Linked DNA regions of Macaca fascicularis. The protein of the gene in region 1 interacts with the protein of each later gene in a pairwise test. Links are inferred from orthologs where the notes say so. Each region holds a gene or a part of one and is shown on either strand. Other genes may lie near its edges.

Evidence for each region.
Region 2: the proteins of TEX11 (region 1) and MAPKBP1 interact in binary tests that used the Homo sapiens proteins (3 or more experiments, as listed by UniProt). The two-hybrid records come from large-scale screens. The link is inferred for Macaca fascicularis from reciprocal best matches to the Homo sapiens genes TEX11 and MAPKBP1.

The regions. Positions count from the first base shown.
Region 1 is NC_088395.1:77,572,358-77,576,534, reverse strand, and holds the start of TEX11 (testis-expressed protein 11), read left to right. Parts: upstream 1-1,361; 5' UTR 1,362-1,466; coding exon 1,467-1,490; intron 1,491-4,177. UniProt on the Homo sapiens protein: Regulator of crossing-over during meiosis. Involved in initiation and/or maintenance of chromosome synapsis and formation of crossovers.
Region 2 is NC_088381.1:18,410,506-18,414,021, forward strand, and holds part of MAPKBP1 (mitogen-activated protein kinase-binding protein 1), read left to right. Parts: intron 1-173; coding exon 174-229; intron 230-1,420; coding exon 1,421-1,657; intron 1,658-2,185; coding exon 2,186-2,351; coding exon of another isoform or gene 2,352-2,352; intron 2,353-2,565; coding exon 2,566-2,724; intron 2,725-2,838; coding exon 2,839-3,036; intron 3,037-3,206; coding exon 3,207-3,291; intron 3,292-3,516. UniProt on the Homo sapiens protein: Negative regulator of NOD2 function. It down-regulates NOD2-induced processes such as activation of NF-kappa-B signaling, IL8 secretion and antibacterial response. Involved in JNK signaling pathway.

The sequences.
Region 1 (4,177 bases):
TAGAACTATGTAGCTTATGGACACTTATGTCACATGAGTTTGAAAAAATTTTTTTGATAATATGAAAGGCATCAATTGAGATTCTACATCATGCTTATTGTTTAGTTTTAGGGTTTTTTTTTTTTTTTTTTTTTTTTTTTTTGAGACACAGTCTTGCTCTGTTGTCCAGGCTGGAATTCAGTGGCACGATCTGAGCTAACTACAACCTCAACCTCCAGGCTCAAACAATTCTTATGCCTCAGCCACCCCAGTAGCTGGGATTACAGGCGAGCACATCACACCCAGCTAATTTTTGTATTTTTAATAGAGATGGGGTTTTGCCATGTTGACTAGGCTGGTCTCGAATTCCTGGTCTGAAGTGATCCGCCTGCCTCAGCCTCCCAACGTGCTGGGATTACAAGCATGAGCCACTGCGCCTGACCTAGTTTTAGTGTTTTTTTTTGTTTGTTTTTGTTTTTTGTTTTTTTTAAATGGTGTCTTGCTATGTTGCCCAGCCTGTTTCAAACTCCTGGGCTCAAGGGATCCTCCTGCCACAGCCACCTGAGTAGTTGGTACTACAGGCGTGGAACATTGTGCACAGCTAATGCTTGGGTTTTAAGGAATTCCATGGCCTAGTAAGATTCAGCTATGTGGAGTCTGGAGCTGAGACCATTTAGAAAATGGTGACATCATTTGTGCAGATTCAATAGCTGGTTAATGTTGTTGCTAATTGAGCATGTCATTTTTTTTTTTTCTCACAAAGTAAGGTCAAGACTTCAGAGCCAGCAGTTTGCTATGTCTGTCTAATGCTTGAAAATATTAATAAGTTTTTCAGTTTTACAGGGCACATATCCAGATCTTTCAGATTTTCTACATTTTCTAGTTTTGAAGACACTGTTAAGTTCAGTTTTGTAGGGTTTTTTTTGTTTGTTTTAGAGAAAGGGTCTCACTCTGTAGCCCTTGCTGGATGGAGTACAGTGGCAGGATCATAGCTCACCGTATTCTTGAACTCCTGGACTCAAGTGATCCTCCCAACTCAGCCTTTGGACTAGCTAGGACTAAAGATGTGTGCCACCATGCTTGGCCTGTTTTGTACTTTTAATATTACCTAATAACTTTACTATTAGTGAAGTCAATGCATTTTCCTTTCTGAGAATGAATAATGATTAAGTTATAAACAAGTGACTCCCAAAGAATGCAAATTTTATTTGAAAATTATACTCTTGCTTAAATAAACTTTAAATCTCCAGTTTGGTTTTACTCTAAGGATCAAGTTCCTTCATGCTATATTCATTTGGCCAATGATTTAGGAATAGGTTTAAAAATGATTTGCTACTTTTAGCCAATGGTAATAGTTCACAGCACATTTATCATCCATTGTTATTTCAGAAGTTGTTGAAAACCTGGTTGCAAGTGATAATTCACCTAACATACCAGAGGCAATTGATAGACTCTTCAGAGACATAGCAAATATCAACAGGGAGTCTATGGCTGAAATAACAGACGCTCAGGTTAGTATAAAAATAATTCTGTTTATGACAAGTTTTGATAATTCTTCATTTTAACCAATGTATTATATAGATAAAAAAGTAGTCTTAACCCTTGCTAAACATATAAAAATCTATTTTTGGATGTTCACACCTAATTTAGGGGAAAAAAATTTTAGAAACCAATGGAAAAATATGTGCTCAAGTTTAAACATTTATTATTTATTAGTAATGTTATATATTATTAATATTTATTAACCTCTCCAGGCTTCAGTTTTCTCATCTGTTAAATGATAATAGTAATACCCACCTCTAAGTGTTGTTGTGAATAGTAAACAAAATAACATACATAAGGTCCTGGGCACACACGAGTTCTCTTTTCCTTCCCTTTGCAGCAAAGTAGTGGAGCCACCCAGTAGTGGAGAACTCAGTTGACTATAAGCCTTCAGAAGTGCTTTTTTGGGGGGTAATTTTCTAATGTTTAAATGAAGGTCTGTTACTTACTTAATATGGAAATTGTCTTGAGGCTTGAAACACTTTTGAGAACATTTACCTTGGGCAAATACTTGCATTTTGGTGATTACTTATATGGAAAGGTGAGAAGAAAGTTTATTGTAAATCTCTCTTCCTCTTTATATATATATGTATCTATATATGTATGTATGTGTTTATGTATATATAAATACCTTTATTTAGATATAATTTACATACCATGCAATTCACCCATTTCAAGTATGCAATTCAATAGTTTTTAGTATTTCCCAGAGTTGTTGTGCACCTATCACCACGGTTAGTTAATTTTAGAATATTTTCACCACCTCAAAAAGAAACCACGCCCATTCACAAACACTCTCCATTTCCTCCCATCCCCTTCCCTCCCTCACCCTCAGCCCTAGGTAACCGCTAATCTACTTTTGGTCTCTATGGTTTTGCCTAATGAGGACATTTTATGTAAATAAAATCATACAATGTGTGGTTTACTGACTGCTTTCACTTAGCCCCATGTTTTCAAAGTTCATCCATGTTGTTGCATGTATTTGTACTTCATACATTTTTATGACTGAATAATATCCCATTGTATGGCTATACCATATTTTGTTTGTGCATTCATCTATTGATGAACGTTTTCATTGCTTCCACCTTTTGGCTATTATGAATAATCCTGCTATAAATACTCATGTACAGATTTTTATGTTTTTATTTTTCTTAGGTTTGTACCTAAGAATGAAATTGCTGGGCCATGTGATAACTCTAAACTTTTGATGAACTACCAGATTGTTTTCCAAAATGGCTGTACCATTTTACATTCCCACTAGCAGTATAAGAGGGATCCAGTTGGTGGTGACTCATGCCTGTAATCCCAGCACTTTGGGAGGCCAAGGCAGGCGGATCACGAGGCCAGGAGATCAAGACCATCCTGGCTAACACCGTGAAACCCCGTCTCTACTAAAAATACAAAAATTAGCTGGGTGTGGTGGCGGGTGCCTGTAGTTCCAGCTACTCGGGAGGTTGAGGCAGGAGAATGGTGTGAACCCGGGAGGTGGAGCTTGCAGTGAGCCGAGATCACACCACAGAACTCCAGCCTGGGCGAGAGAGCGAGACTCCGTCTCAAAAAAAAAAAAAAAAAAAAAGAGGGATAGAGGGATCCAGTTTTTCCACCTCCTTGCTGACATTTTTCATTATTTGTCTTTTTGGTTATAGTCATTTTAGTGGGTTTGAAGTGTTATCTTATCTCGTTGTGTTTTTTATTGTGGTAAAACACACATAACATACAATTTACTGTCTTAATCATTTTTAGGTGTATAGTTCCCTTGTGTTAAGTATGTTCACATTGTGCAGCCATTCTCCAGAACCCTTTTCATCTTGCAAAACTGAAACTCTGTACTCATTAAGCAACTCCCCCTTGCCCTCTAAAATTCTTTTTTTTTTTTTTTTTTTTTGAGACGGAGTCTTGCTCTGTCACCCAGGCTGGAGTGCAGTGGCCGGATCTCAGCTCACTGCAAGCTCCTCCTCTCGGGTTCACGCCATTCTCCTGCCTCAGCCTCCCAAGTAGCTGGGACTACAGGCACCCGCCACTTCGCCCGGCTAGTTTTTTGTATTTTTTAGTAGAGACGGGGTTTCACCGTGTTAGCCAGGATGGTCTCGATCTCCTGACCTCATGATCCGCCCGTCTCGGCCTCCCAAAGTGCTGGGATTACAGGCTTGAGCCACCGTGCCCGGCCTAAAATTCTTATGAATTTTGAGATCAGCTTGTCAACCACCATTCTACTTTCTGTCTCTATAAATTTGACTACTCTCAGTACCTCATGTAAGTGGAATCATATAATAATTGTCTTTTTGTGACTGGTTTATTTCTCTTAGTATAATGTCTTCCAGGTTCATCCGTGTTGCAGCATGTGTCAGAATTTTCTTCCTTTTTAAGACTGAATAATCCATTGTATGTGTATACCACATTTTGTTTATCCATTCATTTGTTGATGGACACTTGGGTTGCATCTACCTTTTGCCTATTGTGAATAATGTTGCTATGAGCATTGGTATGGAAATTTCTGATCAAGTCCCTGCATTCAATTCTTTTGGATATACACCCAGAATTGGAATTGCTGTATCATACGACAATTCTGTTTTTAATTTTTCGAGCAACCGCCATACTGTTTTCCATAGCAACTATAGCATTTTACATTTCTATTAATAGTGAACAAGGGTACCAG
Region 2 (3,516 bases), on another chromosome or scaffold:
CCCTCGTTGGTATAATGGCTAGATATGGTTTTTCTGGGACTCTGGGGTGAGAGCGGTGTGAGCTGAGGAAACTGAGGCATCATTGTGGCCACACACGGTATGGGTTGATGGGGCCAGGGCTCCAGGGGTGGGTGGGCAGGAGACACCTGCCCTGACTGCCTGTTTCTGTCTAGCCTCGGTCCCCAGCCCTGCCTTGCCCCGAAGCCTGTCCCACTGGGAGATGAGTCGGGTGAGTCGCCATTGTTAAAATGTTCTTCCAAGGTTAGAGGAGGCAAAGGAAGGTGTGAGAACGGGGCTTTCTGGACCTGGTAGGGGTATTGGGGCATGGGGTCTGCCCACATGCTGCACTCCTGTATCCAAGGAAGGCCTTGTCAGGGAAGTTGAAGCAGCTGGGCCAGTCCTGGGTACGGGGGTGAAGAAAGCCCAGGTATTTCCTTCTTGTGGACCAGATGAGGTGGATGGAACACAGAGTTAGTCAGCCCTGGGGAGGTGTGGCACTTATTCAGCTGCCTGGTGCCTGGAAGTAAATATCATCAGAGAACAGCTCAAGGTGGAGAGGTCAAAGGGCCTCTAAGCCAGATAGAACTAAAGTGCAGGAAATCAAGGATCCAAAGAGCGGAGATCTGGAGAAACAGTAGTTCTAAAGACCCCGGTTAGGAGGTAAGCAGAGAACTTCCAGAATAGTTAGAGGGAAAAGGCCATGAGGGGACCCATAACTGAGTGACTGCTCTGGGGTGGCCAGAGGGGGATCAAGGTTCAGAGCAAGTCCCCAGGCACCAGTACCTTCCGTTGTCAGCAACAGTTTCACAGAGTGATGATGCTGTGATGTCTCTGGAGCATCCTGACCGTCCAGGGGTCTCAGGCCTGGGCTATAGGTTTGTCCTTGGTGGTGTGAAGGGACTTTGGGGCCCCCAGCCATTGGAGCGATTAGGGTAGAGAGGCAAAAGTGAGGTAGAGAGGCAAAAGGAGTGGTTGGGGTAGACAGGCAGAAGTGGCCTTTGCCCTGGGCTGGGTTTCTTGGAGGACTCTTGGTCGTAAGTGGTTGCTGGTGGGGCCGTCCTCAGAGCAGGAGACTTTGAGAGACCTCTGAGGCGTCCATGATACCAGGTGAAGGCTGAGACTAGAGGTTCATGTGCCCGAGGATGTGGAGTGCAGCTAAGAGCATGAACTCTGGAGCCAGACTAACCTGCAGGCCACTTCCTGCCTGTGGGATGCGGCCTGGTCACTTAAGCCCCCTGCGCTTCAGTCTCCTCATCTGTAAAACAAGGATTATACTAGTGCCTGTTTCAAAAGGTTGCTGTGAGGATGAAGTAAGCTAATATGTGTAGTGTGCCAGGCACATAGTAAGGGATATGTGGATATTTGTTGATCTTACTGTGTGGTGGTTGTTACTCCTCCCCCACACCCTGCCTCCCACCAGGCACAGGAGTCCGTGGGGTTCCTGGACCCAGCTCCTGCAGCCAACCCAGGACCCAGAAGAAGGGGGCGCTGGGCTCAGCCAGGTGTGGAGCTGAGCGTTCGATCCATGCTGGACCTACGGCAGCTGGAAACACTGGCTCCAAGCCCACGGGGCCCTAGCCAGGACTCGCTGGCCACCATCTCATCTGGTCCCAGGAAGCATGGGCAGCAGGCCCTTGAAACTTCACTCACTAGCCAGGTGAGCCCGCTTTCTCCCAGCTCTCCAGAGAGCTCCAAGGGGCCTTAGGCAGCCTTTGCCACCAGCTGGGACCTGAGCACTGGTCCAGCTATGCTTGCTCTGCCCCTGTGGCACATGGGTAACCTGAACTGCAAAGCCAGGATGAGGCTGGCTGGGCCGTATGGTTTGGTCATCAGGGTAGGCAGGGGAGGGGTTGGGGTAGAGAGGCAAAAGTGGCCTTTGTCCTGGGCTGGGTTTCTTGGAGGACTCTTGGTATTAAGTGGTAGCTGGAGGTTGGCGGCCCAGAGTGCTAATACAGTTCATCCAGAAGCTCACATCAGCAGCTGGAGCCCAGCCTGGCTTCTTGGTGTCTGTCCTTCAACTCCCCCTAGAATTAGTGCACAGCACATCTTTACTCACCTCCACCTCTTCTCCATGGGGAGGGTTGGCCCCCAGGATACTCAGGGCTTAACCACCAGCTACCACTGCCTCATCCGCCACCTCTTCTCACGCCAGCTGCTCTGGTAACGTCCCTTTGCCTGTTCCCAGAATGAAAAGTCCCCTCGGCCTCAGGCTTCCCAACCCTGTTCCTGTCCCCGTATTATCCGATTATTGTCACAAGAGGAAGGGGTCTTTGCCCAAGATCTGGAACCTGCACCCGTTGAAGATGGTATTGTCTACCCGGAGCCGAGTGACAGCCCCACCATGGATACCAGGTAAGGATCCTGCCCTGGCCAGACCTCGTGGGCTGTGCAGCACCCCCGTCTTCCCCTCCCTGTGAGTGTTCTTTAGTTGAGGGAGGGTTGGCCCCCAGGATACTCAGGGCTTTCCTTCTAGCTCACCACTGCCTCATCCCTCACCCTGATCACAGGCAAGAGTCCAGCAGGGCTGCTGCCCACCTCTGCTCACTGCCTTTTCTTCTCCCTGCTGGAATCCTGGCAGTGAGTTCCAGGTGCAGGCTCCAGCCCGGGGAACTCTGGGAAGAGTGTACCCAGGCAGCAGGAGCTCAGAAAAGCACAGCCCTGACAGTGCCTGCTCTGTGGACTACAGCAGCAGCTGCCTTTCCAGCCCCGAGCACCCCACTGAAGGTGAGGCTGCAGCCTGGAGGGAGGGGTCATGGTGGGTGGGGCCTGGAGGTGAGTGGGGAGGCTCTGGCAACAGATGGGTGCAGTGCAGTGCCTCTCTCCCCTCCCCACACCCAGACTCTGAGAGCACGGAGCCCCTCAGTGTGGATGGCATCTCTTCAGACCTTGAAGAGCCAGCTGAGGGTGATGAAGAAGAGGAGGAAGAGGAGGGAGGCATGGGCCCCTATGGGCTGCAGGAGGGCAGCCCCCGGACTCCAGACCAGGAGCAGTTTCTGAAACAGCACTTTGAGACTCTGGCCAATGGAGCTGCTCCAGGTGTGGTCAGAGGGCCAGCATTTAGTGCCTGCAATTTGCCCTTCTCCCCTCCTTGCTTACCTGAGAGGAGGGTCCCAGGGTATAGGCAGTGGCTGGGGGTCTCAGGGAGGCAAAATCTGTGTCAAGGGCTTGATTTCTGCCCCAATTCATGATTTCTCTGACCCTGGTAGGGGCCCCAGTGCAGGTGCCAGAGAGGTCAGAGTCTCGGAGCATCTCTTCACGATACCTGTTGCAAGTACAGACCCGCCCACTCAGGTACAGAGGCCCCTCCCCCCAGCAGCAGCTCCAGCTCTCCTGGCCTCCCAGGGCTGCTGCCCTCTCCTCCAGTGTTCTCTCTCCATGCCTGGGGTGTTTAGCACTCCCAGTTTTGGGCTAACTTGGCCTTTTCCCAGCCCTGTCTGGCTTTGTGCTTGTCCTTCTCTCCTAGTGCCCTGGTGCTATCAGTTTTTCGCCATTTTGGCAGGGAGGAGCGTGGAGCCT